Alligator mississippiensis: one gene and its partners. The protein of the gene in region 3 purifies or fractionates together with the protein of the main gene of each other region. This does not show direct contact. Links are inferred from orthologs where the notes say so. Each region holds a gene or a part of one and is shown on either strand. Other genes may lie near its edges. The genes, in order: WDR44, VPS13A, VAPA and RMDN3.

Region 1 (7,960 bases), on a different chromosome or scaffold from region 3:
ACAAACATTTTGACTACCGAATATGGTACAAAGAATGCTACCATGTTTACCCAAATACAAGATGACCCTGAAGTTAAGACAACCCCCCCAAAAATTAGATTCTAGATAAAGAAAATTTACAAATGTATTGTAATTTTCCATGTATGGAATCTAATTATTGGAGGATCATCTTAAATTCACCTCCTCACTACTGCAGTCAGAGGGGGGGAAAGGTGATGGGGGGCAGGCAGTGGGGGGTGGCGGGGCAGGTGGTAGGAGAGACAATAGGGGGCATGTGGTAGCATAGGCAGTAGGGGGAGTAGTGAGGGCAGGCAGTGAGAGGCAGGGAGCTTGCCCCCTGGCCACCTACTTCCACCACTTACCCTTCCATTGTGCCTGCCCCCCTCAGCCCCAGATCCCCCTTTCCCCCACCTTCATGCTGCTTCTGCTCCCCCCTGCCCTAGCCTTGGGCCTCCACCCCCTTCCTCCCATCTTTGACCCCCTTCCCCCCTCCCCCCAGAGTCTTTACCACCAAGCTGCCCCTCCACCTCCCTTCCCTTTCCTCTGCCACTCTTTCCTTGCAAGTTCCATCCCTGCTGGAGCCATGTCATGAGCATGGCTCCCATCCGGTCCCATAGCAGCAGTACAGAGCTGACACTGGAACACATGCTCTGTGCTCCAGGCTGCAGCAAGGATGGAGCCTGCTGGCATGGAGCAAAGGTAAGGAGTGAGGCAGAAGGGGAGACAGAGCATGGGGTGGAAGACAGCAGTGGTGTCTTGAGGCTGCAAGGGAGGAGTGTTGGGGGAAGAGGGGGAGAGGCAGGGGTGCAAAGGCAGCAGCTGCCTCCAGCCTCAACCCTGGGGTTGGAGCCAGAGCTGCAGCTGCTGCCCATCCCCTGCCACCTCATACTCATTGTAAGGTGAGGGGCTCCCCTTTCCACATTAAATAGGGGAAAATAACCCTCATCTTGTAATCGAGTAAATGAGATACTTGAAACCACAGCCAGCTAACACATGCTACTTTGATTCTGCGAGTGATACTTAGCACTTAAATTTTTAATTATTTACAAACATTAAATAGCCTTCACACAACTTCTGCAATGTGGGCAGGAAGCATAATCCCTATTTTGTAGGCAGCAAAACAAAGAAAGGTTGTGCGCCACTCCAAGGTCACAGAGGTTTCCATATAAATGAAAGGATTAGACCCATCCCTGTATTCAGAGCCCTAGATTATGTCTCTTTCTCTGCATTCCCAGATAATAAAGCAAAACCATGAATTTGGACCATCGCTTTGCTAAATTATAGTTCCTTTTTCTGGATTCACTCCCATCCAAGCTGCTACATACATATTCATGATTGAACCCTATGTTATTAATGGCAAAGTCAGGATTTAATGTTTTTGGAGAAAACCGCATTTAGTCAAATATCTAAGAACTGCCAGTTCCCACATTTTTGTTATCTTTCCCCCCTGCCCCCCCATGAACACACTAAGGACACTCAGAAATCAACCATCACATTTTTAAAGACTGCCAGTGTGGGATGCCATCTCTTACGAAAAGAGAAACATTTTCTGTGTCAGTGACCACTAGCCAAAAAAGGTGAATCAAAGAAAAAAATTATAATTTTGCACCTTAAACATTTCTAGAATGTGAACATGAATTAAAGGACTTCCACAGCCACATGTTAAATGCAAAAGACACCCTTTAAGACAGAAGTAATTTCTATGTCACTGTACATCAGAATAAGAAATAAGAACAGTTAACATCACGATGCACACAATCGGTCAGCTATCCTGTGTCTCGCTTATTTCCTACTCGACTCAATTTCCTCAGCAGACTTGTACACTACTGATTTGCCAGCATGATCATCCATTATTGGTTCTAGACACTAAGCCCAGCCAGTATTTTTATTATAGTTGAAGGGTTAGCAATGGAATAACATTTCCAACGACCTTCCTTTTGAGCTGCAAAAGGAAGTGTTCATATGTATCTATGGAAACAAAACATCCAATATTTGTTGCTTTGTGATCGACGGTGAGCTGTGGGCCAAACATTTTGGAAGCCGCCGCTCAAGGGGCTTCGAGTTGGCCGCTAAACGATGCGGCCTAACTGCGATCAGGATTGACACTAGGCGGTTTACACGCTGGGACTAGCATCCCCGAAATAAGGGCTGGTTTAGGTTTGCCTGAGAATACCGCTAGGAACACACAGCTCACGCGCTTTCTTCTCCACCACGCAACACACGTGACAGCAGGCTTCCCCGACACGGAGCACCCGCCCACGCACTGCAGACACGAGCCCAGTCAAGAACCCGTGGAGCGCGCCATTTTCGTTCTTTAAACAAAAAGTGTGGCGTTTACAACGGATAAACGGAAGAGAAAAAATTCATGGTTAATACCTCAGCTTCATAACATACTTCATGATTTAGATATTATTTTAGGATTTTACTTTTAAACCGTCACCGATACACATCAACTATACGATGCCGTACAACAAGCGAAAAAGGCCTATTCGACGGAGCCCCGCAGACACCGTTACGCGGCGCCAGCCACAAGCACGTCACCAGAAGTCTCGTTCTCTGCACCGGCTATTTTCCTTTGTGGCCGTGGTTTACCGCTGTGGGGCTCCCCAGTTATACACAGCGGCGAGGCCGATCGCTGCACGTGCGTCTTCCCTTTCACAGGACGCTGCCGCGCTTTACGGCTGCACGCCTGCCTGACGTTGGTCTCGAGACGAGACCCTCAGGACGTTGCACGCCTGCCTGATGTTTATATGAAGACAGGACTCTCAGGATGTTGCACATCCCTGACAGCGCTGTGGGTGTTGAGGGCAGCCCGCGGACGAGCGTGTCTCACCATGATCGGGTCCTGGCGGGGCGGGCCCCCCGGCCCAGCCTCGAGCATCCTATGATGCGTCGCGGCTGGCTCCCCGCTGTCCCCTCACCCCCGCCCCGCTCCCCCCAGCCCGGCGGCCCGGCACTCACGGCGCGGGCGAGGCGCCGCCCGGGGCCACGTCCACGTCCTCGGGCGCGTCGTAGAACTCCTCGGTGTCGCTGTCGGACGCCATGAGGGGCGGGGACGCGAGCGCGGAAGGGCCCGGCCCGGCCCGAGGCGCGGGGTGAGCACGGAGCGGAGGCCGCGCGCACGTCTCGCGAGAGCGCAGTGACTTGCCGGCGAGGGGCGGGGCCGCGCGGGTGGGAGGGGCGGCAAGGGGAGGAGGGGGGAGCGGCTTGACGCAGAACGTCCAGGGGGCGGGGCTGCAGAGGGTTCAGTGGTCGCGCGCGGCGCTCGGGCGCCCCCTGGCGGGGAGGCGCCGCAGCGCCCCGCCCCGGGAGACGGGGAGCGCTCTGTCACACTCGGTGCACCCTTGTTCAACCCGCGGCACCCCTCCTAGACTCGGGGCACCCCGTTAGACTCAAGACACCCCGTTGGCCGGATGCATTCCTGTTAGGCTTCAGACAGCCCTGTTAGACTCTTGGCACCCCTACTAGACTCAATGCACTCCTCCTAAACTCGATTCACCCCTGTTAGACTCGATGCGCCCCTGTTAGATTCACTCGGGACACTCCTTGTTAAACTCGTGGCATCCCTGTTAGACTCGAGACACCCCATTAGACTGGATGCATCCCTGTTAGACTCGATTCACCCCTGTTAGACTCAATACACCCCTGTTAGATTCACTCGGGACACTCCTTGTTAAACTCGTGGCATCCCTGTTAGACTCGAGACACCCCATTAGACTGGATGCATCCCTGTTAGACTTGAGGCACCCCTGTTAGACTCAATACACCCCTGTTAGATTCACTCAGGACACACCTTATCAAACTTGCAGCACCCCTGTTAGACTCAGGACACCCCATTAGACTTGAGACACCCCTCATTAAATTTGCAGCACCCCTGTTAGACTTGTGGCACCCCTACTAGACTTGAGGCACCCCTGTTAGTTTCGATTCACCCCTCTTAGACTCAGAACACCCCTTGTTAAACTTGCGACACCCTTGTTAGACTCAGGACACCTCTTGTTAGACTCAAGACACTCTTTGTTAGTCTCAATTCACGCCTGTTAGACTCGAGGGCCCCTTGTTAGACTCCAGGCCCCCCTTGGACAATGCCCGCTCTGAGCTTTCACTGGCTGTTTGACTACAGAAAACTGCTAGAGCCATTTTCCTGCTGCAAAGCGCTCAGCCAGACCACAGCAGGGCAGGGTGTTTCTGACCTCTGGGATTCCCATCTGAACTCTCTGGGTTTATCCCGTGAATCGTGTGTCCTTTGGCATCTCTGGCCCAATAAGTGGTGGGTGCCAGGGAGGGCATCGAATGCGGGATGGGTCACTCTAGGAATCCCTGGTTTGATGTCCTCCCAGGACAGCATCCACATCTGCCACTGTCAGAGTAGTGGGCTGCAGGGTCTGGTCCTGCACAGCACTGCTTCTGTGCTTCCCTAGCTGTGCTACTGACTCATGGCACCTCGCGGCACCCTTGAAAGGACCTCAAGGCAACCCCAGGGTGCTGCGGCACCTGGCTGAGAACCACTGCTTTTGGTGCTTTTTAAACATGTTCTTGACCGTAGGGTTCACTTTATACGGCCGTTTCCCCTCCAGCGCCAAGCAGCAGATGGACAAGGCTGCGGTTGCACGGTCAGAACAGGAACTTCTTTCTCACACGTTAAACGCCTCTTTCAGTTATGTCTGTGCAGTCCTTTGCTCAGTTCCTGTTGCTGAGCGATGCTTCTTGAGCAACCACTCTTCCCTCCCATGGTCGCTTCTCTGCTTCCCCGCGACCGCTCTTAGGAAGCTCCTTTCTCCTGCTTGCAGCTGGCCGAAATCCCTCTCTGCTAGTACCCCAGCCCCTAATCCATACAGCCTAGTCTGGAGGTAACAGGCCTTAGGCCTCACCAGCTTCACTTCCCAAGGGAGATCTCTGTCCCCCTTCTATGAGAGCTGTCTGCGAGAGAAGCTGACTTCTCAGCTCGTCCCCCGTGATGCTTAATGTCATGGTGTCTCCACGGAGGCCGCTGACGAGCCCAGAACACGTCTGCGGCTATACAAGCACCCACATCTTTCAGACATCCTCCAGAACTGCTTATGAGGCTTTCCAAGTATTTGATAGTTGCCATTTGCTCGGTATCATGGCCGCACAGATTAACAATGAGCTGGTTATAGTCTAGAGTGAGAGGGTATTAAACAGTCATTGTCTGGGGACTTCATTCTGTCCTGGTTGATACGCAGGCCAACAAACTGACCGTCAGCTGCAGCAATTTGCTCCACCAAGCGAACAAGACAGAGACATCAACCTTTCAGAGCAACGTGATGCTCAGTTCAATGCCCCTGACAGCTGCTTCTTCCAGCTGATCCATCAGCTGCTCAATACTGATACTGAACAAGGCCTTGCCAAACTCCAGTGGAAACAGGAAACCAAGCTGTGCCTGACTACCATTAGCTCAGACCCAGCTTTCTGCAGCACTGTACCGCTCTGCTATCAATAGCACTTCCTTCCGGGGGTGGGAGGTGCTGAATTTCATTATCAGATCCCACAAGCTTCATGATGAGCTGAAACAAAGGCCCGACCGAAGTCTATGAAAGGTTCAGCCCACGATGTATTAAATCCAGGTGTATTCCCCAAGAGCTGTCTGGCAGTACAGAGGGGAATGAGGATTCAGGTCTCTGTTACGTCGCTAACTCGAGACATTTACACAGAGACAGACTGCCACTGAGACTGAAAACAGCACAATGCAATTATAGGAGCCAGAGGAGTCCTCTTAGTTTGTCAGGGAAGGGACTGTTGTGCCAGAGAGAGCCGGGAAGAGCTGATGCGACATAAACCCAATGATGCTTTTATCTGCCTTCAGCAACTCAGTGGGATATTCCAGGCCTGTGGTGCCTTCCCAGGGTGCTGTAGATGAGAGAGTCGGGATCTCTTCTTGGTTCCTGGTCCATCCCAGAAACCCCGGGCAGCGCCTCTTGCTTTGCAATTGCTGCCCGATAGGTAAACTTTGAAGTGAACAGCCAGAAAAAGAATCAGATGCCAGAAATTAGACCACAGGGGACGTACAGCACTGAGAGTGCTAGACACCTGCATAATGCTCTTCCCTGGCACAGCACTGCTAACACATCCACGTTGTCTTGGTAGCCTCATTAGCAACACAGGAGAAAAGAAAAGCTCCTATTAAGGTTTAAGGCCCAAAGACAGTAATTAGAACTGACCTGTATTGCACCACTCCCTCTTTTTTCAGGGACTGTTTTCACTTATATAACAGAGCTAAGCAAAAATTGTTCCACCTAATCTTTAGCTTAGGATACATCGGCTTTTCCCGGACCTGAGGAAGGGTGTGTTGTGCCCGAAAACTTGTCTAATATTTCTCCCAACTGCATTGTTGGTCCAATAAAAGATTTCACTGAACAAATCTTGATTCTCGTACGTTCTGTGGAGCATCAGGGCTACGACGGCACTTCAGCACTATTCCCACCAGTCTGTAGGGAAGATTGTGTGTGAACAGCACAGGCCACAGTGCTATTCAGCCAAGAGGAAGGGATGCAAAGTAGGGACAGTGGAGAGCCCAGGTCTAAGTTGGTCTAGATTAGAGGTGGCCAACTTGGCGGCAGCATGTGGGCAGAGGAAGGGGACTGTAGTGGCACTCAGAGTGGGTGCAAGGCTAATTTATGATGCACCTGCTGAAAAGGTTGGCCCTGACTGCTCGTGACTACAGGAAACAACACACAACACATGAGCAGGGGATGCTCTAATCTTCCTGGTGCTGGGTATTAGAGGGTGACATCACTCACAGAGAAGAAGCAACCAGGAAAGCGCCAAACTGGTAATGAGCAGGGGCCAGGATAACCATCACGTCCCCGGGCAATCCTTGCCTTTCTTTGGTGAATGGAGAGGACAGGACCTGGCTCACACCTTGCACTGCTGTGTGGGGAGCAAAACACCACGTACAGCAAATGACTGAGTTGTGATTCACAGTGCGGTTGCTCCTGTTCTGGCACCAGTCTGACACACAGATTGCATTAGAGCTGATAGGAGAGCTGCTAAATTATCAAAGGCCGCAACAATGTAATGTCAGCTGGAAAGACAAGCATCCTGAGAAGCTGAAAGATGCATTTGAAATGTTCCTTGAATTGTTTTGTGCTTTGCCAGTAGCTGACATCAGTTGTACGGCCGGGTATATCGTTACACAGCGGAGACGACATAGCCGGCATCTTAAAGCACACCCAGAACCAGGTCGGGATTTGAGGTAAAACTCCATTTACTCTGGTTGCATACACACATAACTACAAATCAGAATCAGGCCCAGGCTCCTCTACATAAAATCTTTGCCCTCGTATTCAGAAAGCTGTCAGCCCACTTATGTCCAAGCGGAATCACAGCGATTGTTATGAGCAATATGCATGACACATGATCTACAGGCTCCCTTTCCTTTATCCTGCACATTGATTCTCAGTCAGGATGCCACAGCACCCTGGGGTGCCTTGAGATCCTTTCAAGGGTGCCACACGATGTCAACACTGTTAGGTTTACCACCTTAATTCACAAGATAAACCCAGAGATTTCCAATAGAAATCCATAGCCATGGTCTTTCTCAGGTCTTTGCAACAGAAAAACTCCTAATTTTTTTTTTTTTTGGTGGGCAAAAAAGGGGAGAAAACTAAGAGCTAGCATTTTCCAGGAGAAGCCTCAAATCTGTCCAGGGGTGCCTTGAGTCTAAAAAGCTTGAGGACCCCTGATCTGGTACGACAAGGGTCCTACATATAGGAGAGAATATCTGAGATGTCCTTAGGCACCAGTAAATCCCAGTGCTGATAGAAAGGGCCAGGACATTGCACAACGCTGGCCGCCACGGGGCTATGCAGCTGCTCGGTTCATGGAAGCAGAACAGAAGAGTGCTTCCTTCTTTCTTCTCTGCCTTATTTCTTCAGGGTATGTTTGGGGGTTTGCAGTTTGTTATAAGGGCTGTATATCGTTATCTCCATTGTAGTTTGCA
Region 2 (8,142 bases), about 100 Mb from region 3:
ACTTCTTTTAAGCTTCCTTTTTGTGTTTAAGCTCACCAAAGAGTTCTCTGCTAAGCCAAGCTGGCTGCCTGCCATATTTGCTGTTCTTCCTGCACATTGGGATGGTTTCTTCCTGTGCCTTCAGTAAGGTTTCTTTAAAATACAACCAGCTCTCCTGGACTCTTTTCCTCTCAGAGTGGCCTCCCAGGAGATCCTGCCCATCAGTTCCCTAAGGGAGTCAATGTCTGCTTTTCTGAAGTCCAGGATCCATACTCAGCTCTCCTTTCTTCCTGCTGTCAGTATCCTGAACTTGATCATTTCATGGTTGCTGCTGCCCAAATTGCCTTCCACTTCTACATCCTCCAGTAATTCTTCCTTATTTGTGAACAGCAGGTCAAGTGCATGGCCCCTAGTTGGTCTCTCCCACACTTGCACCAGGAAGTTGTCTCCAACACTCTTCAAAAACTTTGTAGATTGCCTGTGCACTTCTGTATTGCGCCTCCCAGAAGTGTCTTGTCATGTTGTATTGCCCTTCCAGCAGAGTGATTGAAGTCCCCCATGAGAACCAGGGCCTGTGATCAGGAAACTTTGCTAGCTCTTTGCAGAAAGCCTCATCTACCTCACCCTCCTAGTCTGGTGATCTATAACAGATCCCCATCACCCTTGTTGCTCTCCTCTGTGACTCTAAACTCAGAAACTTTCAACAGACCTATCTCCAGGTCCATACCGGAGCTCTGAGCAATCATATGGCTCTTTTACATAAAATGCAACTCCTCCTCCTGCTCTTCTTCCCTGCCTATCCTTCCTGAACAGTTTATACCGATCCATGACAGTACTCCAGTCATGCAACTAATCCACCAAGTCGCTGTTATTCCAATCACATCATAGTTCCTTGACTGTGCAAGGGTTTCCAGTTCTTCTTGTTTGTTTCCCTGGCTCTGTGTGTTTGTATACATACACCTGAGGTAAGTAGCCAATTGCCTTACTTTGTAAGGAAGAATGAGAAGGCCTCCACTGTTGCCCCCTACTGATTGTGCTTCCTCTGGGTCTCCCACTTCCCCACTTACCTCACGGCTTTGGTCTCTATCCCCTGACAAACCTAGTTTAAAGCCCACCTCACTAGGTTAGCAAGCCTGTCAGTGAAGATACTCTTCCCTCTCTTCATTCACTGAATCCCTTCTCTTCCTAGCAATCCTTCTTCTTGGAGCAACATCCCATGGCCATGGAGCTGAATCCTGGCTGGCAACACCATCTGCACAGTCATGCACTGACCTGCGGGTTGCATTGGCTCCTGCCCGGGCCCTTCCCCTTGACTGGAAGGATCGTGTACATAAATAATCAGTTCAAATAAGCAGTGTAACTGCACGAAATGGACTTGCTTTGTAAGTTATTTGCAGGACTGTTCTTTTCTTCAATGTAAGTGCTGACAAGCAGCAAAAGAGCTAGTTAAAAAGGAGCATTAAGTCATAAAGAAAATACAGAAATACAAGCAAGTGATGGAGGCCGAATGTATTTGCATTAAATGTAGAAGTGGTCATAACTCAATGCAAATATAACCAGAGAAAGTGGTGTTTTAATGCTATTTAGGGCTCTGTGGGTTGAACCACTAAAATGTTCTAAGTAGTATATTATACATCAAGGTTCAGTATATGAATTTCTAAAACCAAACCGATAATATATAAAATATATATAATTGTTATAACTTAATGTACAGGTTATTAGATTAAAGATGATGTTTACTCTGAACTAAAAAAATAGCTGTTATTTTCTAGTACAGTGTACTGTAAGCATGCTGTAAATATTTGTCAAAGAATTTATCTCCCTGGGCATACTAAAAACAACTATAAATTAATCTAATCTTTATAGATTTGGGCACAATTTTAAAATCAATATTCAATAGCATCATTGAGTTCCTATTACTAATCCTCTTTAATCTTTTTCTTTGGATATATGAGAATAGCAGCTTATGAATACCACAGTGATTTTGACATTATGTCTTCATTTATTGCCCGCACATAAATCTCCTTGGAACATTTCTATCTAACTTTTCATTTGTGTTTCCTTCCAAAATAGTAAGGTTATGTTATTGCATTTTAATCTCTTTTCTGTTTTCCCCCTAGACTTCTCCCTAAATTTATTTCCTTTCACTGTTCAGTTTTTATATCTATAGGTACATATAAAAACTAATCTGCTATGAGGTGCTTTACAAACTCTTGTACATAGCATGTTGCATTCTGTGAATTCTTATTCCTTATTTTTTGCTCATTGGGGCCCAGATGATATACAATCTTTCCCTTCTACACCACAAAACCTCTGAAAAATAATTTGGGGCTATATAAGCCCCAGTCTTCTATTCAATTCACTCTTGGTATAACTATATACATACAATACCTTAGAACCCTGGTCAACATCAGCAGAATTACTTACTACTGCCACCTGTTGTCAGCAACGGTAGTATAACTTTAACTCCAACACATCCACAGCTGGTTCAGAAATTGGGAGTAAAAGATTAATCTTTTTTGGAGATGGTGCTGGGTACGGTTTGCCTTTGCCTGCACTGGCAGCTGTATTGTGCCCAGAACCAATTTCCCAGAATTTGCTACAGATGATTAGGGCCAGCAACCAGTAACAGCTAATAGAAACAAGATGGGAGAAAGGCACTGCTCAGAGCCACGTCCAGTAATAGCATGGTTAAGACATTCATGCTTGGATCCCTGCCTATGCGATCACTTCCATGAGAGGCAAAGTCGGTCTTCTGATACACCTTGCAAGGAAACTACATGGGTCAAGACAACTGCTAGGAATATGCTATGACAGAAAGCAGGGCAGTGTATCACTTTATAGACCAGGGATTCTCAACCAGGGTGCCATGAAATGTTTTCAAGGGTGCCATGGAGTGCCACACAATATCAGCACCGTTAGGTGGGGAAGCATGATTCAGAAGATAAACCCAGAGTTTTCTAATAGGAATCCATAGTGTTGACCTGTTGCAATCTTTCTGAGTTCTTTGCAATGTGAGAATTGCTCTATTATTTTTCGTGGATACAGGTTTTAGCCATGTTGGTCTAAGAATACAAGTTAAATAGAAGGCAGGGTAGATTTGTGGATAAATATCTGTGTGTGTGTGCATGTGTGGCAAATCTACCCTGCCTTCTACTTGACTGCAGACTAACAAGACTAACTACATCTCAGTCCATAACAGTGGTCTTCAACCTTAGGCGGATACTATATGTGTGTGTGCATATGTGTGCACCTGCATGTGTGTGTGTGTGTGTGTGTGTGTGTGTGTATGTATGTGTGTTTTATAGTTTCATAGTCGTTAGGGGCTGGAAAGGACCTTACATATCATCGGGTCCAGCCCCCCTACATGTGGACAGAAAAGACTGCTGGGTTCAAATGATCCCAGCAAGATGGCCGTCAAGAGGTTTTTTGAAGATAAAAATGTTTTTTGAAGATAAAACATACGTTGAAGTGTGTGTGTGTGTGTGTGTACATACATACAGAACAAACTTTCATGGGCTGAAGCTGTTTATGGCATCTGATGAAGTGAGTTCCAGCCACAAAGGCTTGTGCTATATCTATCTATCTGTTTATGTAAATATATGTATATACAGATAGGCAAGGCATTTGTGCAGATGTGATCTCTTTTATTAGACCAACCGATTAGTTGGAAAAAAGTTCTTTGCAAGCTTCCCCCCACCCCGTCAATATTCAGTTGGTCTAATAAAAGAGATCACATCTAACCAAATGCCTTGCCTGCCTGTGTCCTAAGACCAATGTGGCACAACCCTGCTATATGTATATGTGTTTATGTATATATGCATGCATATGTATGTGTATACATGTATGCATGCATATACATGCATGCAGATATATGTATGTGTGAATATATGTTGTTTGTCCTTTACAAATGAAGATGACCGCATGGGGGAGGTGAGGGAAGAAAGGAAGCGGGGAAGAAAAAGGGAGGGACAAAAGAGTAAAAAGGAGAAAGAAGAGAGAGGAAGGGGGTGGAGGCTAGGTCCCCTGGGTAGGCAGGTGACTTACAAGCCCAATGGTTGCCCTGAACAATCTGCTGCAGCAGCAGGGGCAAGGATGAGGACTGGACACTAGAGGACTCGTGTCCAGTCCTCATGAATATACATTTATGCATATGTGTGTGTGTGTGTGTGTGTGTGTGTACACAGGCAGACAAGGTTCCTTGGGTGAATTTGATATCTTTTATTAGACCAACCCAAATAGTTGGAGAAGTTATTAAGTGTATTAATAGTGTTGTGTCCTTAGACCAACACGGCTACAACCTACACCCCTGTACACACACACACACACACACACACACACACACACACACACACACGCGCGCGCATGCATGTATAGAATCTATACGTTTTCGGTGAGTTCTTGAATCATTTGGGATTAGTTCTCGAATCTATACGCTTTGGATTAGTTCTTAAGGTGCAAACCCTCTTGTCTCGTGCCCCTGGACAGCAGCTGGCTGGGAGGCTCCGTTTGCTCAGCAGGAGGCTGCATGGCCCTCCACGTAACCCCAGTTTTCCGCTCCTCCCAGGCCGGGACAAGGGAGGCAAAGAGACGCTCGACCCCGCGCCTGGGGCCGCCCCGCCCTGTCCTGTCCCGGCCGAGCCCCAGGGCCTGCAGCCGCGCTCTACACATGCGACTCCCGGCGGGAGAGGCGCGCGAGCCCCACCCCCGGCCGCAACGGTCTCAACGGCTGCCCCCCCCAGCTCCGGCTCGCGCGCACCGCCCCATAGATGGCAGGCGCCGAGCGTTCCTTCTGCGTCTGCGCAGTGGGGCGGGGCGGGGAGCAGCGTGAGCTCAGGGCGCGAGGGGGCCTGCAGTGCGCTGCTGCGTGAGGCGGCGGCGGCAGCGGCAGCCGGGCCACAATGGTGTTCGAGTCGCTGGTCGTGGACGTGCTGAACCGGTTTCTGGGCGACTACGTGGTGAACCTGGACAGCTCCCAGCTGAAGCTGGGCATCTGGGGAGGTAGCGCGGGGCGGTGGTAGGGGGTCCTGCTTCGGCCGGGGCAGCCGCCGCCCCTGCGAGGCCCCCCCCCCCCCGCCCAGCTGCGTCTAGTGGGCGCTGCCCGCGCCACCCCCGCAGCGCTGGGGTGATTAATGGGCCTGGCATGAGGGGGAGGGGACCCGTGCTCTGCACCCGCCCGAGTCGCCTGTTTTCTGGGCAGTGGGCATGGTAGAAATACGGGTGCTAGGCAGCCAGGAAGCACCTGCCATGCCTGGGATTTACAGCTCGTTTGGCTCCCAATTTCTTGGCGAGGAAGCTCCAGCCCCTGCACCCACAGCGTCCCCTTTTGGGCCTTGCTCAGCGTGTGGGTTGCATGTGCCCCGCCTGGGCGTTCATCAAGATTGCAGCTTGCCAGGCAGTGCCGTGTGGTCGGCTGGACCCCGTGGTCGCGCAGGCGTCTGCCCGAAATGTTCGTCTCCTACGGTGTTGCTTTGAAACGTCCATAAGCAGAGCTCGGTCTGTTCAGACAGCGGGTCGTAGGTTTGGGAGCTGGTATCTGACGCCCTATGAAAGAGAGAGAGGCTCCTGCTGCAAAATTGTCTTTTAAACGCTCCCTCCCCCCCCCCCCCCCCCCCCCCCCGCAGAGTTTGGAGCAGAAGCACCGCCAGCCTGAAAGGAATGAGTACTACATGTAAAGGCAGAAGTGACAGCATTGACTTTTCCCTTTTCAGACACCAGTGGTGACCAAAATCAGCACCCCCCTTCCCCACAGTCCATTCCTCGCTGCTTAATGTTTCCAGCTCAGTTTAGTAGCACTGAAGAAAAGACAAGTGAAATTGAACCATCTTTGTTTACTTGACAGCATAAATTTACCAGGCAGTGTTTTAACTTCGGAATTTTACCTTAAAATTTTAAGGAGTGGTAAATGCGTGGGTTTTTGGAAAAAACTGTTAGGCCCCTTCCATCAGAGGTGTCCCAGTCATTCCCACACTCTTGCCAGTCCTGCAGGCTGAATGTGGATCACAAAGCTTCTCACACACCAGATAACCTGCGTTAGCAGCAAGGTGGTGGCAGTTGTCAGTGTGATTCCAGGACCCAGGGCACAAATGCTGCCATCATTCGCCCCCTTTTTTCCCCTGTTGCTGATTTTAGTCACCATTGGTGTCTGAAGACCCTGAATTGGCAGCAAATAACAGAGCAGGGCAGAGCACAGCAGGCCTCAGAGTGGTTGGTTGGACAGCCCTTTCTTAAATCGTTGGCTTAGTTTTTTAAGCCTGTAAGAGCATAGCTCCCAAAAGTGATTAATGTCAGAAGTAACACCTTGATGCAAGTAATTTCTTATAAAGCTGCATTGGCATCCGGATTCACTCAGCCAAAGGTGTGCAGGAATTGGAAAATAAACAGAAGCTTTATTCTTGGTGGAGTGGGGGTAACTCAGTTCAGGATAGTAATTAATATAAGTCGAGCACAATTTAGGATTTAAGTAATAGTTAATAGAGACTCTTTGGTTTTAGGCTGGTAAGAATTCCATCTGGCCAGCAGGTGTCAACACACATATTAGGAGTCAAAATCCTCTGGGATTTTTACATCTCTAGGGCTGAGGCTTGTTTTCTTAATTAGGTATTCATATGTTTAGATCAGATTCTGGAAACTTCCCATGATTCGCTACTACACAAAGACCTTTCTTTCTTTTGTTTTCTAACATTGCTCCTTTATCTGGATCCACCTCTAAAGTAACATCTTTTGAGAGGAAGGTATTCTGTCTCCATGAACACTTAGTCTCTGAGCATTTCTAAAGTTGGAGCAGCCCAGTTTCTGCTGGTCTCATGATAATGGTCCTTATACCATTACATGTAAGATACACTGAACACACAGTAATGGTATCTGAATTAAAAGGATTGGGTTATTAGTAAACATGGAATATATCCAGTATATTAATTAATTACTTTGCCACTCTTGTGTTCCAAAAAAATAGGTCATTTAATATTAATCTTTATGGCTTTATACAGGGGTATGCTTTTGCCAACAATAGTGTATCAGTTGTCATGTGGTCTTGGGGTGGATAGAGCCTGAACTTCTAATGTAAAGTGCACGAGTTGCCTATTTTTATAAAAACTTACCGGTTGCCTACATAATTACAAAGGGTAAACGTTTTTTTCTTTTCCCTTTGCAAATATTCTTAAAGATGTGTCCCCCTTGTAGTTTACCCACACAATATTGGTGTTTGCACTAGTGAATTTAATCTACTTAACTTCTTTTCAACTGAATAGGAATGGGTAATTTTACCTTGGTGGGAGAGACCTGCAATTTTACGATTCAGCTGCCAGAGCATGACATGTCATCTGACTTTAGGATTAGTCAGTTACTCACTTTGAAACAGAATCAATTCTGTCATTTAAAGGAATTTAGACATGTTTTTTCTTACTTTCCTATCTTGTGGTGGACTCCATCCAACTTCCACTTTGGTGTTTATATGCTTACAATATGTGATGATTGCCATGCATTTCTGTGGAAAGTTTTATGCATTTTGGTTTACTTTGATCTAATAAACAAGTATCCTGCCCTTATTCAGCATGGTGTATTGAAAATTAATTCCATCCAGTTGATTCACTGGACCGATGCAACATTTTAGCTCTGTCCTAATTAGACAGCATCAGTAGGGGAAATGTTGGGTGGGGGGAGAGAGGGATGATTTCCTTCTGGTTCCTTCTGTTTTACTATTTTAACTTATTTAACATTTATTTTTTGTTGCATATTTTGCTTTTATTCAATATCCTTTCATTACAAAAATTCTCCAAGGCTTGGTAAAATACACACTCCTCCCATTAAATGTTGCCCTGCTGCAGTGAATGGTGGTAGTCAATAAGCCCTAATGATCTTAGTCATAGGATCATTAATGTCTGCTGCTAATTTTGTGTTCTCAGTAAAATTAATAGTTTAGAACTAAATTCTCTTAGGAAGAAAATACCTTCTTAGCATGGTATTGAAATAAGATGAACTTACCATCCTAAGACTTAAGTTACTACTTCCAAACAGTATCCCCATCCTATTTAAACATTTGCTTGGCTACAAACATAGGACTGGAAAGGGCTGCCTGGGCCATCAAATTCAGGCCCCTGTATTTGCTAGCAATCATTTGCCCAAGAATTTCCCCAAAAATACATTTCATGCTCGCATGCACAA
Region 3 (7,523 bases):
TGAAAATGTATGTTTGGGAGAGATGCAGGCAAGTTTTCTAGAGTATTTACTGGACCATCGTAACTACAACCCTCCAAACCTACTATAAGGTGCTGAAAGGTATAAATACATGTAAAGTGCTAAGGATGTGCCTTTATTGGAAAATTTAACTTGGGTCTTGTTCCTTTTGGTCTTCCTGGTGCTCAGAGGTGTGTTGAATTTGCTGCTTCCATCCTTCCAGTCCTCTCAATCAGCATTGGCCACTTTGTGGGCCTTTCTAGCAGAGCAGGTTTTGTTTAATATTCTTGTGCTGTTTCAAGCCACTCAAGTGAGGCAATTGTAGTAACATTGTTTCCTTGTTATCTAGTATCTCCTGATAGCACAGTGGAAGAATGGATTGGATTTCACTAGCAATTCAAGTCTTATCAAAAGGATATATAGGATCAAGACAATAAACCTGAAAAGTATGTAAGAGGTGATGTTGTCTTGAGCTGAAGACTATGTCTCTTGAGTTTAACCTACTTGATTTACCACTGTCCAGATAAAGAGTAAGGAACCAAATGTCATAATCTCATAAAGTGATTTCCTGCTTTCTGGGTTTAAGAGACATTCCATTAAATGATTTTCCCAGTTTTATTCCCATAGAACTGAAGTCAGATTAATTATCATTTGGCAAGAGGCCCTTTTGGTCAGCCTATTGTTTAAGGTGTTACTGAAACCTATTATCACAACCTTAAATTAGCAACCCAAATGAGTCATCCAGGAAACTCCATCCAGCTGACTTTTCCCTCAGGAAGTAGAAATAAAGGGGTCTAAAATGTCATTTCTTATTGGAGACAAAGGAAAAAAAGATGAATAAATGTCACACCTTATGTCACTCAATTACTAACCCATGATTCACACTTTCAGAACGCACGATCTGAGAGTTCTTAAGAAAAGTTAAATAGTTTGCTCAGTTCTAAAAAACTGACACAGTAAAAATGGAATTTGGGGTTCCCAATTTTTTTAGCATCACAGAAACATCCACATCAAGTCTGTTAGTATTACAAGCAAAATTATATTTATTCTAAATACCTTGGAAACTCAGCGTGAAATGTAAGAATCCCAAGCATCCCTAGAATAGATATTTAGCCATTTGAAGGTCATTAAAAACTAATTTCTACATTGCTAACAGAAGTAAAAATACAACTGAAATTAATTTTTGCCATTAATAATAACATTAAAATTAAATAGAATTAAAATCTGATGGTATTGTGCTAATCACTATTAATTTATGGAAAATGGGTTTTGGCAGACAAACTATTACTGTTTTGTGTGAATCAAAGTTTGACTACTGAAGGTTACTCTGTTGGTCTTATGTACTTACCCTAATAGAGGACATTTGATTTAGTGCCATAGGATGATTAAGGAATACCACAAAAACATGGGGTTCTGAAGGGACCTGTTTTTGGTCTAATGCTTTTCAATACCTTTATGAATGATCTGGAAGAAAATATGAAATCATCCCTGGTAAAAGGTACAGAGGACACAAAAATTGCTGATTTAATTGAGAGTGATGAAGTCAAAATTTTATGTGTATTTTTAATGGTTGTCTATAAAACAAGAATAACTACAGAATATTCTTTATGTATTTCTTCGTGACGTTCCAATGCATCAAAGCAAAATTTAAAGAAATCTTTAAGTTCTCACTTATTCATAATTTATGTGTTGCATGTTGAAACCTAACAGATTCTCACTGGTATCACCTGCACAGTAACTCTATAAATAATTAACTCTTAGCTGTCAAAGGACTTCATCAGTGATACCATAGATGTTTATTTTTTCTGAGTGGAAAGGGAATAAATAGAATAGTCTCTCAGATAAAACACAAGAACGCTAAGCTAGTATATGACTGCTCAGATACAAACATAGATCATACCTGCAGTACACTGGATTTGTAAGGTTACTACAGAAATCCGATTTCTTTGCCTTGTGGGATATTAACTAAATTTTAAAATGATTAATCTCTAATCTTCCAGATCTACATAAAATGAACCAGAAACTTTTACTCTAATTAGCCAGACACACCTGTCAGAAGCAGCTTTTTTTGTAGATCTGTCTGCTACCCCAGCAAAACAGTAATAGATAATTTTTGATGACTTATAACATACGGAGGCTGGGGTGTTAGTAGTGACAACTTTTTAGATTCTTACCCTGCATATGTGCACATGCTTACGTTAATGTGTGTGTCAGTTCCTGTTTTTTCGGTGGATGTAAAGTTAAGATAGATAAAAGTCTGCAGGATCAGGGCTGTAGACAACATAACTTTTATTGATTATACCGATTACTATATTTAGTCAAAACCAAAAGTGAGGTTTTTAAGACGAGGTCCCACCCCCCACCAACATGGGGGAAAAAGCTTTGTCATAGATTCAAGTAACATCTTGGGGCAGGGGGCTGGTGTGGCCCTGGCTCTGGTGCAGAAGCGGGAGCCACAGCAGCTGCCTGCCCCACACTGGGGTGACTTATGCGGGGAGAAGGCATGTGATGGAGGACGCACAAGGGAAATTACACAGTGGGGGAGGTATGGGGAAGACCATGCAGTGCGGGGTGGGGTGTGTGGGGGAGACCCACAGCATACAGCTTGTGGGGAAGTGAGGGAGAAACAGCCTGACCACCCGCCATTGACTTTCCACCCTGCCACTTATCTGTGGCTGGGGGGGGGCGGGGGCGGGGAGGGAAGGGGCAGGCAGCAGGGACATGGAGCCATAGGTGATGGGAGAAAATATTAATTGAGGGGTTGGGTAAAGCTTAAAAGATGCTTTACTGTGCTGCTTTGGGGGGCGGGGGTCAGTGTAGGGTGGGGTGTAGGGGGGTGGTGCAGGGCAGTGTGGGGCACGCCTGCCTGACTCCTGCCCCTCTCTCACGCAGGGCTATTGCAGGGCCACCACATGCTAGTGTTGTATGTGGCGGTGGAGGAGCATGTGGTGGGGGTGCAGGGTGTGGCGCTGCAGCAGCAGGGTGTGGCAGTGGTGCTGGAGCAGTGAAGCCACGCGGCGCTGAGAATGCTTGGGACGCTGGCCTGGCTGCCCACCAAGCAGCACCGGGCACTGTGGGATGGCAGCACTGTGGTGCTGCTGCTTGTTGAGCAATATATATATAACTGTGTTTAATGGATATTTTTGTAGTCAATAAAGCTTCTGACTGATTATCAGATGAGTGCTGGTGGTTAATCGCATAGTTCTCCTTGTCCACAGAGAAGTAGAGCTTGAGTTACAGCCCAACACTGCCGTCACTGGCCGCCACAAAATTAGTTTGGAGGGGCTAAGCCCCATTAATCCTCGACTTCTGCTGCCGATGCATGGGGCAGCAGTTTGGAGAGACAGACAACTTTCTTTGGTTAATTTTAAAGCTCCCACCCACTAATTTAATTTTATGACCCCTTTGTGGGCGAGACAGGCCTGTCACCAGGTCTGAGGAGGAATGACTGGCGTACGTGACAGCGGGGAAGGGTTTTACATGCAAAACCCTCCACCAGCCCTTAACTGCAGCCAGTGCTGGGAAACATTATGCTGTGAAGAATGAAAAGGAAGAAAGGCTGGCTCTTGCTTTTTGAGTCTCATACAAGAGCTTTTGGCCAGGGTGGCTTTGGAGAGGCCTCCCCGTCTGCATTCATCTCCACGTTCTGCTCCAGCTCCTTTAGCAGGTTACAGGTGACCCCAGCCTGAGGCCCTTGGGACAGGTCCCTCCAGGCCCTGCAGCAAGGCAGTGCCCTCTCCCCAGGCAGAGGGATGTAGGCTATGTGGAGGGCTGCCTGTGGTGGGTGTTGTGATGCACTCCCCGCCTGGAGGCAGCAGCACATGGGCCTTCAGAGCCAGCAGCTTGGAAGGGGGTGTATAGGGTGGGGCAAATCCACAGGGGCTGCTGTGTACTGTTGGGCCCTCACCACAGGGCTGAGACGTGCCCCTCACCCCTGGGGCTCCATCAGCCCCTGCTCAGGGCCAGGATTAGCCTGGCTGCTCAGTGGCGCCAGTGGTAACAGCTTTGCTCACGGTACAGACCCTGGAAGGACTACGAATCCCAGCATGCACCGCGCCCCCCGGTCCGGCGGCGGCACATTGCATGCTGGGGCTCGCAGTCCTTGGAGGGTGCGGCAGCCTACGCCTTGAAGGTCGCGCATGCGCAGTTCTTTCCTTAGTTTTCCCTTGCGAGTTTCGCTCTTTTCCAGCTCGCGCGCCCCCTGCCGCTTCGGCGGAGGCAGCACGAGACCCAATCGAGTGCGCTGTCAAACGCCAAACACGGGTCGGGGGAGAGCGCGCACGCGTGCTCGTTGGTGCATGCGCAGCGTGTCCCCCTTCCACCCCCACCGCGGTGAGGCTGGCGCGGGTTCGCAGTACGCGGGCCGTTGAGTCAGTTCCGACAGGAAAGGGCGGGGGGAGCGGAGAGGAGCGGAGCGTGCGCAGGCGCACGGAGCGGGGACGAGGCGGCGTTGGCGGCGGCTTGGCTCGGCCCGGCTCCGTGGCCCCAGCGTCAGCGCCACTGCCCTCTTCCTCCTTCTACCTCCTCCCCCCGCAGCTGCTGCCGCCGCCGCGCCACCCCTCCCCTACTGTCGCCAACTGCCGCCGCAGTGAGGGCGCGAGGCCACGAGCGAGGCAGCGCGCGCGATGGCGGCCGCGGCGGCCCTGGCAAAGCACGAGCAAATCCTGGTGCTCGATCCGCCCACCGACCTCAAATTCAAAGGTGCGGCCGGGGTCGGGGCGGCGGTGGCGACTGCGGCGGGGTGGGGGAAGGGCCGCGGCCCAGCCCGGCGCGGGCGCAGAGCGGGACGCGGCCCCGCCGCCATCTTGCGGGGCCGCCAGCGCTACTTAGGCCCGGCCCAGCCCCGCCAGGTCCCTGGGGCGGGGCGGGGCGGGGCGGGCTCCCCTGGCGCCTCTGGGCCCTGCCTCCGCCGCAGCGAGCGGTCGAGGCTGAGGCTGGAGGATCGCCCTGGGCGGCGATGAGTTGGGGGCAGTTCCCTTGAGGCGCCGGGGGGGAGGTGCTGCCACGTCGAGGGCAGAGTCTGGGATGAAAACTTCTTTCCCCCGAGCAGTCCGCTGCACGCATGCCCCCTCCCGCCCACGCCAAGAGCCCTTTGGGAATATTTTGGGCAGTGTCATTTTGGAAAGTTGCCCCTTTGCAGCCCCAAAAGGGCGGGAGGAACTGGGCGTCCATCTGGTGACAACATTGCCTTTGAGATCTCGCAAGTGAATTGGCTCAGAAATGCCGACTGGCTGCTCTGTAGCGCAGCTGCACCGTCTCCTGGATTCCTGGGTGCTGGGTTTACCCGAGAAGGGCAGGGTGAGAAAGGGCGGGTGTATGCTAAAGCAAAGTAAAGCAGAGGTCACGGCGTTGTAGCGTAGGCCTGTCCATGCAGAATATCCTCCCGAGTTGAAAGGAAGCAGCATTAATGGATGAGAAACAGATGCGGGGGGGTTTAAGACTTGCTGTCCTTGACTTATTGGGCGGCCAGGTACGCATGAAGCCTAGGAGCAAGCTAATTAATACTCTCAGCATGAACCACTAGAGCAGCAGAAGTACGAATTGTAAGTGGAAGCTATTTTTTTTTCCATTTAGAAGTCTTGGGAAGGCTTTCGTGGAAGGCCACGTGTGAAAGCACGCGCATGCTCTGAAGCACAGCAGTGTGCAGTCATTTAGATGTGTAGCGGAAAATCAGTACATCAGTTCACGTAGACCTGTGTGCTGTTCCAACATGCTGCTATCCCAGCACATACCTGTCTGATTTCATTGCTCAGTGTGCATACTGAAAACAACTCTTTCTTTCCTAATGAACTAACATTGACTGTAAGGTGTTGGCAGAGTGAAGCTCTAAATCATGTGGTCTCAGATTGGAAAGAGGCATTGTCCTGTAAAATGTGTGCTGGTTCAAATCTAATGTGTCAAAAAGTTGGGTAACTTTGGTAAACTCTTGTTTTTGTGATTATAACTGATTTGCCTAGATTTTTCCAGTGGCTCACTCAGCAAAGTACTATCGCATTACTAATGGCATTCCAGAAAATACTAATGTCAAACAGAAATCCACTTACGAGTTTTATAGAGACAAAGTACCTTTGACCACTGACAAATAGCTTGAATCATACTCAACTCTTGGTCCCTTTTTTTTCCCCCAGACTTAGTAAAATTTGGTTCAGAAGGGTCTAAAAGCATCCCATTATCATTGCTGTGTTTTGGGAATGATTCCCATGAATAAGATTAAAATCCATTGTTTCTAGTATCTGTAGTCATTACAGGTGTCTGACTTAAAACCCCCGTGCTTGAATGGCATAAAACCAGTTCTCTTTCTTCATATAGTCAGTCATAGCCAATTCTGTGAGTTTGTAAAATTAATCAGGTTCGTCTGTTCATTATGTGATGGTTTTTCCCTTCCAAATGTTTTACAAAATGATTTTAATTATTTTTTCTTTAAACTTAATGGTAAAAACCAGATACAAAGGTGAAATGAATTCCTGATCGTCTCAGTGTATCACTGGCAGAGCTGAGAACTTTAAATTTGTCTCTCTTGCAGCCTGGTCTAGTGTGTGTGTTTGTTTCTTAATTTGTGAACCATGCTAGTGCCTTTAATGAGCCATTTCCCTTATTTTACACTAAAGTATTTAGTATACAAATTGAGATTTGGGAAAGTATAACTAGAGGATTACAGTAGATTTTGAAATGCATTATTTGCTTTAAAAACTTTTAGATTGGAAAGTGGAACATCTGTTATCTTTAATATAGGTTATTTTCACCTGAACTATGTGATAAAAATACATTTATCTGGAGTTCTGGTTCTGTGAAACCCATTTGAAGAAGCTGTAATTTTAACTCCATGAATCTCTTGAGGGTAAAAATATATATTCCATTTTTCTAAAAAAAGTCACCTGCTTAAATATTGGTACTACAAGTTTCTTTTTAAATCTCTCTAGTGCTATCTTAGGATCTCAACGTGTTACTCTTTAGAGTGATAAAGACTTGTTTTGAATACACCTATATTCAGAAGTTGGAAAAAAGAATGGATATCTTGTATTTAAGTTACTTTTTTGGGTGGCAGACCTTTTTTTTTATCTGTAAGCTCCAGCTAAACCTTGCAATGAGGTGTGTTTTTACCTCTACTGTCAAAATTATTTCAAAATATAGTGTTCATCACTGACAAGTCAGTTGTTTTGTCAATATTTATTAGAAACATTTATGGCCTGTTTCAGTTTGCCTTCACATTCTGTTTAACGTAACCTGTTGAATATTCAACATATTTAATTTTGAGGGTTTTTAAGCATTAGCAAGTATCTTCTCTTCTGTCAAGACTATTCCATTTTTGTAGAGGAAGTAAATTAAAAAGTAACTTAAGATGTAAATGTTTAGGATGTTAAAAATTTATTTGATGGATTAAGTTAGTTTGTTTTTTTCAGTTTGGAAATTGAAGCGAGATTAGCTAATTTATGTACTCTTTGGGTTGCAAATCCTGCAGAGAAAAATATGAATGCAAATGCACTGTTTTGTTTGGAATTAAAAAAATATGGAAATATATGTTTATA
Region 4 (7,643 bases), on a different chromosome or scaffold from region 3:
AAATTAAGGTAGAACACTGTTATTATAAGTCTACCTTTTCTTCTACATAAAAAAAAAAAAAAAATCACACTCAACTTATATAGCGAGTGCTTATAATCAGATTGTGGCAGAACTGGACTTTTCTGTCTTCAGTCACTAGCTACTGAGCATGGGAGTTAGGGATACAGCCTCTGAATTAGAACTTCCTAGACTTTAAATGCTGGAGGCTGCAAGTGAGAGAGGAACAGTGGAAAAAAAAATCAACCCTGGTCAAACTCAGTTCACTCTCCCTTTCAGCATCCACTCAGCCACTGCATGACACAGGCCTATTTGTTACCTAGGGAATGCGAGCCAATGGCCACAAGGAAACACTATAAGCCTTCCTTAGAAAGGGAGGTCACTATGTAGACAACAACTGACTGCTTGGGACAACTAAAAACATAACAGGGATGGGAGTAAAGGCCAAAGGTGGAGTTTTAGGGAGTTTTAGGCCCTGCTTGGCCAAGCAGGGACACCAAGCAGGGCCCATCAGACACTGTGACAGACTTATTTGTCACCTTGAGGGGTGTGGATCTATAAGCCCCCTTTAGTACTGGGGGCCACTAATAACATATTATAAATTACTTGGGACAAATAATAATGAAAACAGGGACAGGAGTGGAGGTCAAAGGGTAATAACCAGCAGAGCACACTGGACCCTATATGATACAGGCCTATTTGTCACCTTGAGGGGCATGGGCCTAGGCCCATCAAGTAGCTTATTGGCCTCCCTCAGATGGGGAGCCTACAAAAAAAGTTGACAACTGATTACTGGGGCCAAATAATAAACAAACAGGGACAGGAGTGCTGGTCAATGGTTAATAACCAGTGTGCCAAGGGGAGACACCAAGCAGAGAACACCAGGCACTCTGTAACAGGATAGTGGGCGAGAGGGACCTACGGTCTAATCCAGTAAGTGGCAATTCTTATGTCATTATGAAATACTTTTGCAGTGTAGGTTTTGTTTTAGTATTTTAGTGCACTTACCATATTCAACTGAATCTAAGATGAGGTTTTATTCTCCATTTAACATGGGCAGAGCCTCATGTTGGAATTGAGTGCCAGGGCTACAGCCAGAGCTGCTACTGCTGCTGCTACCTGAACAGGGCCAGGGTGGCTTGTAGAGCAAGGATGGGGAGACACACCAGGGGAGACCATGTGATGTGAGGCAGAGAGAACTGGGAAGACTACGCATACAGGAAGAACAAGAGGGAGATGCTGTAGTGCAGGATGGCGGGAGCACAGGGGAGTCTGCAGAGCAGCAAGGGAGTTATTCCTGCTGCTGCTGCAGCTCTCCAGCCCTGACCCAGCAAGGGACATAGTTGGGGTTGTACTACCACTGCTATCTAGCCAGGGCTGGAGCCAGAGTTGCGCTGGGCAAGCAGCAGTGGGGGGAGCAGGTGGCAGAGGCGTAGGAGCTGGGGGGTAAGGTGGCAGGGTGGCAAGTAGCAAGGCGCACAGGCAGCAGGAAGGCAGAGGCACTGGTGGGAGGGGGGTAGGGGTGCAAGTGACAGGTGGACTAGTGGGGGCACAAGGGTTAGAGATCAGTTGCCTGCCCCCAACCTCCTTCCCTGCCACTGCTTTCCATGCCACAGCAGCAGGGTGACAAATTTAAGACAACTCCCACCCACATAATTAGATTCAATACATGGAAAATTACAGATTTTCCACGTACAAAATGTAATGGGGGGGAAGGGTATCATCTTACATTTGAAGTCACCTCAGATTCAGGTAAACATAGCAATCTTTTGGGTCTTTCCCTTGGTTATTTTTGTGGGATTTTGTAAGGGCAACAGGAATTCAAGGCCTTTACCTGTCGTTATCAATTTATATTTGGTAAAAATCCTACTTTTCTTCAACTTGAGCCTGAAAACAGGGACCTGGCTTATACATGGGGGTTGACATAACTATACTACAGGAGCTATTCTGGGCAAGACCCGGAAGCTGGTTGCACATTGGCAAGTCCCTACATTTGCCTGCAGTCCCACTGCATGCATGGGGGAACCCACCACAAAGATCGGGGTCAGGGCACAGAATGGGAATGTAAACGACGGGCGTCTAAATGGTGACAGTCGGAGACTGCTCCCTTTCATCACCATGTTCTTTGCTGGGGAGGCCAGCCTGCATGGCCCGGGTGCCACACATGGCACGGGAGGTCTCTCTGTGCAACACGTGACAGATGAGGAGGGGGCAGGGAGCAGAGCAGCAGATCAGGCAGCGGCAGAAAACAGAGCAGCAGATCTAGCAGGAGCAGGGGATCAGCGTGGTGCTGGGGGAGGGCGCAGGGCTAAAAAGGATGTAGGAGAAGCTGCCCCTGCTGCTCTCAACCAGGCTCACACTCTCTAGCTCTGCCAGCGCCTCCACACGGGGCTGCTGGAGGGCACGAGAAGTGCAGGGCAGAGCCAGCTGCGGGGCAGCCGAGGACGGGAGCCCCGCAGCCAGGCGCAGGGCAAGGCAGGGGGCAGGTCGCGGGCACCCACCCGAGGCGCCAGCTCTCACAGGCTTCACCGCGTGCTCTACCCTCGCCCCGGCCCCGGGAGGCTCTGGGCGCAGAGCAATGCCAAACAGGGGGGACGGGACGGGGCAGCACCCTCCGACCCACGGGGCAGCCCAGGCGAGGGGCGGGGAGCGCAGGGCGTGGACCGTACCGCAGTCACGGCGCCGCGAGCCCCCCGCCGCGTCCTCCGCGCCCTGCCCGGGGCAGTCCCCGGCGCTGCCGCTGCGCCACGGCCTGTTCCTCCTCTGCCGGCGGAGCGCGTACAGCAGCCCGAGCCCCGCCGCAGCGCCCAGAGCCAGCACCAACGCCAGGCGGGCGGGCCCCGGCCTGGCCATGGCGACCTGCAATAAGCGACCGGGTGTCAGCGCGGGGCCCGCCTGCCCACGTGCGCGCCTCCCGGCCCGGCCCCGGGGGCGGGGCTGCCTGCTGTCATCCTGCGGCCCCTGGCCGCTGGCGCGGACTGTGGCGGCGTTGCTGGCGGCCCCTCCGGGGGCTCTCACAGCCCCCAGTCCCGCCGTGCACACGACATAGGGCCAAGCACACAGCAGGGCGCCCGGGGTTACTCACGCCGGCGCACCCTACGCTTTCTGCTTGGCTTGGCCCCACTCGGTCACCGTCCCGCCGCAGCCCAGACAAACACCCCCTGACGCACAAAGATGACGTCTACAGAGCGCCGAGCTTCCGTTCACCCTGGCCTCGCCGCTGCCAGCAAGCGGCAACGGAATGACGGAATCGAGCACTGTCTAGCACCCCCTGCTGGAGGGCAAGTGTCCGGCCATGCGCAAAGGGCACGTGACCCGCAGGGCCCAATGAGCATGGGGCAGGGGAGCTGAATGGGAGGATTCCTGCCCCTGGGTTAGTTCAGTCTCGAGTTGTGCGTGCGACTGCTTGGGACGCTGCCCAGTGACTGGGGCTGGGGAGCTCCGGGCCTGCGGCTCTCTCTGTGGGCTCCCCCAGGCGTCCTTTTGGCCTTCCTGCCCCAAACCCTTGGTCCAGTGGTGCTCAGGCAGGGAGCTGAGGCGCCGTGAGAGCCTTGCAAGGGCGCTGCGTAGCGTTAGCACTCAAAGGTGGGCAAATGCGCGTCATGAGAGAAGTGTGGAGCCATGTCCAGACAAGTGCAGGTGTGCGGGATGTGCTGCTGTAGACCCGTGTGTGGTGCCACACCACACATGCAGGTGCTCCCCATGCTGTGGTCTTGCAGCTGGGTGGGGGAGGGGGTTCTTGATCCCAGTTTAAAAAAAAAAACCCATGCCACAGAAACGGGGGGCACATATGGTAGCACTGCACATCACCGGAAACTGGAGCCTGGCTGGCTGGAGCCCCACTCCAGCTGCTGGCCAGGCTTCCTGCTGTGACTCCAGCTCTGGGTGGTCCCCAAGACCCCAGGTAAGGCTGCTGGGGCCAGTGCAGTTGCTGGCTGCAGCCTCCCCTACCCCACCTGGGGTAACCTGCCATGTGCCAGAGCGCACGTAGTACAGGTGTTCCCCTGGGGCAAGCAGCAGTGACACAAAGTATGCTGCTGCTATGAGTCCCCCAGGAAACAAACATCTACACTCGTTTGGATGTAGCCAGAGATTTCAAATAGGATTCCACCGTGTCAAATAGAACCCAGCAGGCCAGAATTTTTCTGTAATCTTTGCTACAGAAGAATCACTCTATTCTTTTTCTGTAGTCAAAACAGGAGTGAAAGCTGAGAGCTGGCATTTTCTGAGGAGTGTCTGCCCTCTAAGAAAGTTGAGAACCACTTCTCTGGGTCCTTTTCATGCCCCAGTTGCATTTTATGTTGAACTGGGCCACAAGGAGGCAGCGGTTTTGGTGGAGAGTCAGGAAATGGGACAGGGAAAGCCAAGGCTTTGGATCTTCCAGCCTTTCAACGTGTTGCTCATTTAAGCTTGGATTCTTTTGTCTTCAAAAACTTTTGGCCTTTGTGTTGTGTTCAGGTAATTTGAGAAGTAAAGCAGTTTCTCAGTCTCTGAACTTTCCAGCTATCTTGCCTGGAAATCTATTTTTTGCCTTTCAGATAAAGCTTCTACCTCAGCTGCACTCAGTGAAAGTAATTGAAGCATGTCTGTTCTGATAAAGGTCAAATAATGAAAGAAAAAAAAAAAGACTGCACAACTTGAAAGGCTCCAAACATTATTTCCAGTCCTCTTATCAGTAAAGCAATAACAGATCCTCGGGGCAGCATGAATCTGAATTCATATCACTGCGGATATTAAAGATGATATCAGAATATATCATACCACAATTTTAGTTGAAACTCTGTTGCTTGTCTTATTTGGCAGATACTTGCCTTTATTAAAGCAATAAAGAAAGGGACTATGCATGTGGTAGGTGATGTTTTAGACCCTTTGCTTCTTCCCTTTAACTCCTTCCTGCAATAGAAAGCTGCCTTAGTTTCATGGTTAGAATAACATCATAGAAAGTAGCGATGACTGTGAAAGCCTGGCCAGACCTACACGTGAAATTTAAATTACTAAATTAAAATAACAGTGTGCCCAGCCATGCACAGTGAGGGCTGCAAGGACTTAAACCACTTCCTGCCTGCATTTCTGAGAGTGACTATTGCAGCTAACATATACTAGGACTTTTGTGATAGCTCACTTACTGAATATTGGGAAGGAGGCTTTTTCTGTCATTTAGTTTTATAGCTCATTTGTGATATAGTTATTAAAGCCTTTCTGTCACTAATGGAATGAGGTGTACTGTCAGTCCTTAACTACACTAGGTTTGAATCCTGCTTTTGATTGCAACAGTAGAGCTGGAAAAATCTCTTTGGATCCACTGCTCTTTTTCTCTGCCATTATAGAATTGTTACCTTCTGTATGCTATGCACTGTCTAGTCTAGTCAGGAGTCTAGTCTAATTTTAAAGGTTGTAAGAAAGAAGGCCTGGAATATCTCTTAGAAGGCTGTTCCACAGTTTGGCTGACTTCACTAGTAGGAAGTTTTTCCTGCTACTCAGATTAAATTGTCTTTCGCTTTCCTTGTTGCTCTGAGAGGTAGACAGGGTAACACTTATGCCAGTGTGTAAGATGAGGGTAACAAATTGTAGATGCAGTATACAGTTGTAGCAAATTCTGTCACACCTTTAGCTATGTTTCATTCAGGCAGCAGAGTGATATATCAATTAGGTTGTAACAACTGATGCAGACCCCTGAGGGGAAAACTCCCAACTCCCAGTCCCACTCCCTTTTTAAACTGGTTGAAAGTTACATTTGCCCATAGCATTAGTTCAGGGGTTGGCAGTGTTTTTCACTGGAGTGCCTAAAACACCCCAACCTCAACCCAGGCCTTGACTTGGCATGCCAGGTGCAGATGAGGGAAGCTGTGAGGTGTGCAATCTTAGGGGCTGGGGTAATGCTGCCCTGGCCCTTTCCCCACGGTGCTCCCCAAGATTCATGTGCAGCTGCTGCTGGCCATAGAGGCTAGGCTCACAGCAGGCAGCAGACAGGTTGCAAACAGCTACACCAGGTTCCAGAGCCCTGGCCCCATTCCATTGGCGACATGTAGGGGGTGCACGCAGGTGCATGTGCACCCCCTGAGTTTGGCGGTGCACCCCCAGAGATTGGCTACTGCTGATGCTGCTGGCAGTGCCTGTAGACGGTTGCCGCTCACAACCCCTCCCTCACTGCCGACACCACTGTGGTTGCCTGCAGGAGCTCCCTGCTCACCGCCACCAGCACCGCCACCCCATAGCCAGTGGCAGCTGCATTTGTGCCTCAGTACATGGAGCAGGGAAGGGGCTGAGGCAATGCAACCCCAGCCCCTCCCCTGCCAGCAATGAGCCAGGCAGGGGTTCAGCAGACCTCAGTGCAGCAGCTTGCAGCCTCCCAGTCATGTGCCATAGCAGCATGGGCTCTGGGCAGGTCCCTTCCACCCTCCATGGAACCTGGGCTGCTCTCAGCAGGTGGCAGGGAGGCTGCAAACAGCTGCACCAAGGTCAGCTGAGCCCTGGTTGGACTTGTTGCTGGTGGCAGGTGCATGCATATCTCTGGGTGGACAGCAGGGGAGGGCCCAGGATTGCACGGCCCTGGCTTCTTCCCTGTCATGCGCCCTTAGGTATCTCTGCAGCTGCTGCCAGTGCTGGGGCTCTATAGCCTGGTGCAGCTGTTTGCAACTTTTTGGCTGCCTGCCACATCCTGCCAGAGCTCTGGACAGTTGCTACCTGCCAAGGAGCCCAGGCTGCTTGCAGCAGGGCATGCAGCCTCCTGGCTGCCTGCTGTGAGCAGCCTAGGCTCTGTGGCCAGAAGCACCTGCCCAGAGCCTTGGCCGGATCTGGCGTGCCAAGCAAAATGGCTTTGTGTGCCATGCTCTGGCATGTGTGCCAGGAGTTGCCGATCCCTGCACTAGTTATACATCCGTGTCTTAAATATTTCTCCAACCTTGGTCTGGACTCACTTCAACTTTTTGTAGAGTTACTGGGTGCATCTAATGATAATGGCATCCATTTATGCGTGAGTGATGGTGGATATTGCAGCTGTTCTACTGGCTGATGGTACAGTGGTCTCAGGTGTACATGGCGTTAGGGGCTAGTGTATAAACAGGGTGCTTCTACTCATGCGATTTCATAGATTTCATAGACATTAGGGCTGGAAGGGACCTCGGAAGATCATCAAGTCCAGCCCCCTGCCCGAAGGGCAGGAAGTCTGCTGGGGTCATAGGATCCCGGCAAGATAAGCATCCAATTTACTCTTGCAGGTGTTCAATGTAGGTGCTTGAGCCACTTCCGATGGCAAGCTGTTCCAGACCTTGGGGGCTCAGACAGTAAAGAAGTTCTTCCTTATGTCCAGCCTGAAACAGTCTTGCAGTAGTTTATAACTGTTCGACCTCATCATCCCTTGGGGCGCTCTGGTGAACAAACGTTCCCCCAGATACTGGTGGTCACCCCTGATAAACTTATAGGTGTCCATCGGATCACCCCTGAGCCTGCGCTTTTCCAGGCTAAGGAGCCCCATGGCTCTCAGCTTGTCGTCGTAAGGTCTGTTTTCCTGACCTCTGATCATGTGTGTGGCTCTTCTCTGGACTCTGTCAAGCTTCTCCACATCCTTTTTGAATTGAGCCCAAAACTGGACTCAGTACTCCAGCTGCGGCCTCACCAAGGCTGAGTACAAGGGGAGAATGACATCC

Evidence for each region.
Region 1: the proteins of VAPA (region 3) and WDR44 purify together in Homo sapiens (affinity purification with mass spectrometry; 3 studies listed by BioGRID and IntAct, counting the BioPlex papers as one, with this or other methods). This does not show direct contact. The link is inferred for Alligator mississippiensis from reciprocal best matches to the Homo sapiens genes VAPA and WDR44.
Region 2: the proteins of VAPA (region 3) and VPS13A purify together in Homo sapiens (co-immunoprecipitation; 3 studies listed by BioGRID and IntAct, counting the BioPlex papers as one, with this or other methods). This does not show direct contact. The link is inferred for Alligator mississippiensis from reciprocal best matches to the Homo sapiens genes VAPA and VPS13A.
Region 4: the proteins of VAPA (region 3) and RMDN3 purify together in Homo sapiens (co-immunoprecipitation; 4 studies listed by BioGRID and IntAct, counting the BioPlex papers as one, with this or other methods). This does not show direct contact. The link is inferred for Alligator mississippiensis from reciprocal best matches to the Homo sapiens genes VAPA and RMDN3.

The regions. Positions count from the first base shown.
Region 1 is NC_081831.1:81,640,372-81,648,331, forward strand, and holds the start of WDR44 (WD repeat-containing protein 44), read right to left. Parts: upstream 3,121-7,960; 5' UTR 3,045-3,120; coding exon 2,962-3,044; intron 1-2,961. UniProt on the Homo sapiens protein: Downstream effector for Rab11 which regulates Rab11 intracellular membrane trafficking functions such as endocytic recycling, intracellular ciliogenesis and protein export.
Region 2 is NC_081826.1:199,030,018-199,038,159, forward strand, and holds the start of VPS13A (intermembrane lipid transfer protein VPS13A), read left to right. Parts: upstream 1-4,827; 5' UTR 4,828-4,880; coding exon 4,881-4,980; intron 4,981-8,142. UniProt on the Homo sapiens protein: Mediates the transfer of lipids between membranes at organelle contact sites. Binds phospholipids. Required for the formation or stabilization of ER-mitochondria contact sites which enable transfer of lipids between the ER and mitochondria.
Region 3 is NC_081826.1:95,451,201-95,458,723, forward strand, and holds the start of VAPA (vesicle-associated membrane protein-associated protein A), read left to right. Parts: upstream 1-4,385; 5' UTR 4,386-4,622; coding exon 4,623-4,698; intron 4,699-7,523. UniProt on the Homo sapiens protein: Endoplasmic reticulum (ER)-anchored protein that mediates the formation of contact sites between the ER and endosomes via interaction with FFAT motif-containing proteins such as STARD3 or WDR44.
Region 4 is NC_081825.1:240,765,541-240,773,183, reverse strand, and holds the start of RMDN3 (regulator of microtubule dynamics protein 3), read right to left. Parts: upstream 3,149-7,643; 5' UTR 2,851-3,148; coding exon 2,667-2,850; intron 1-2,666.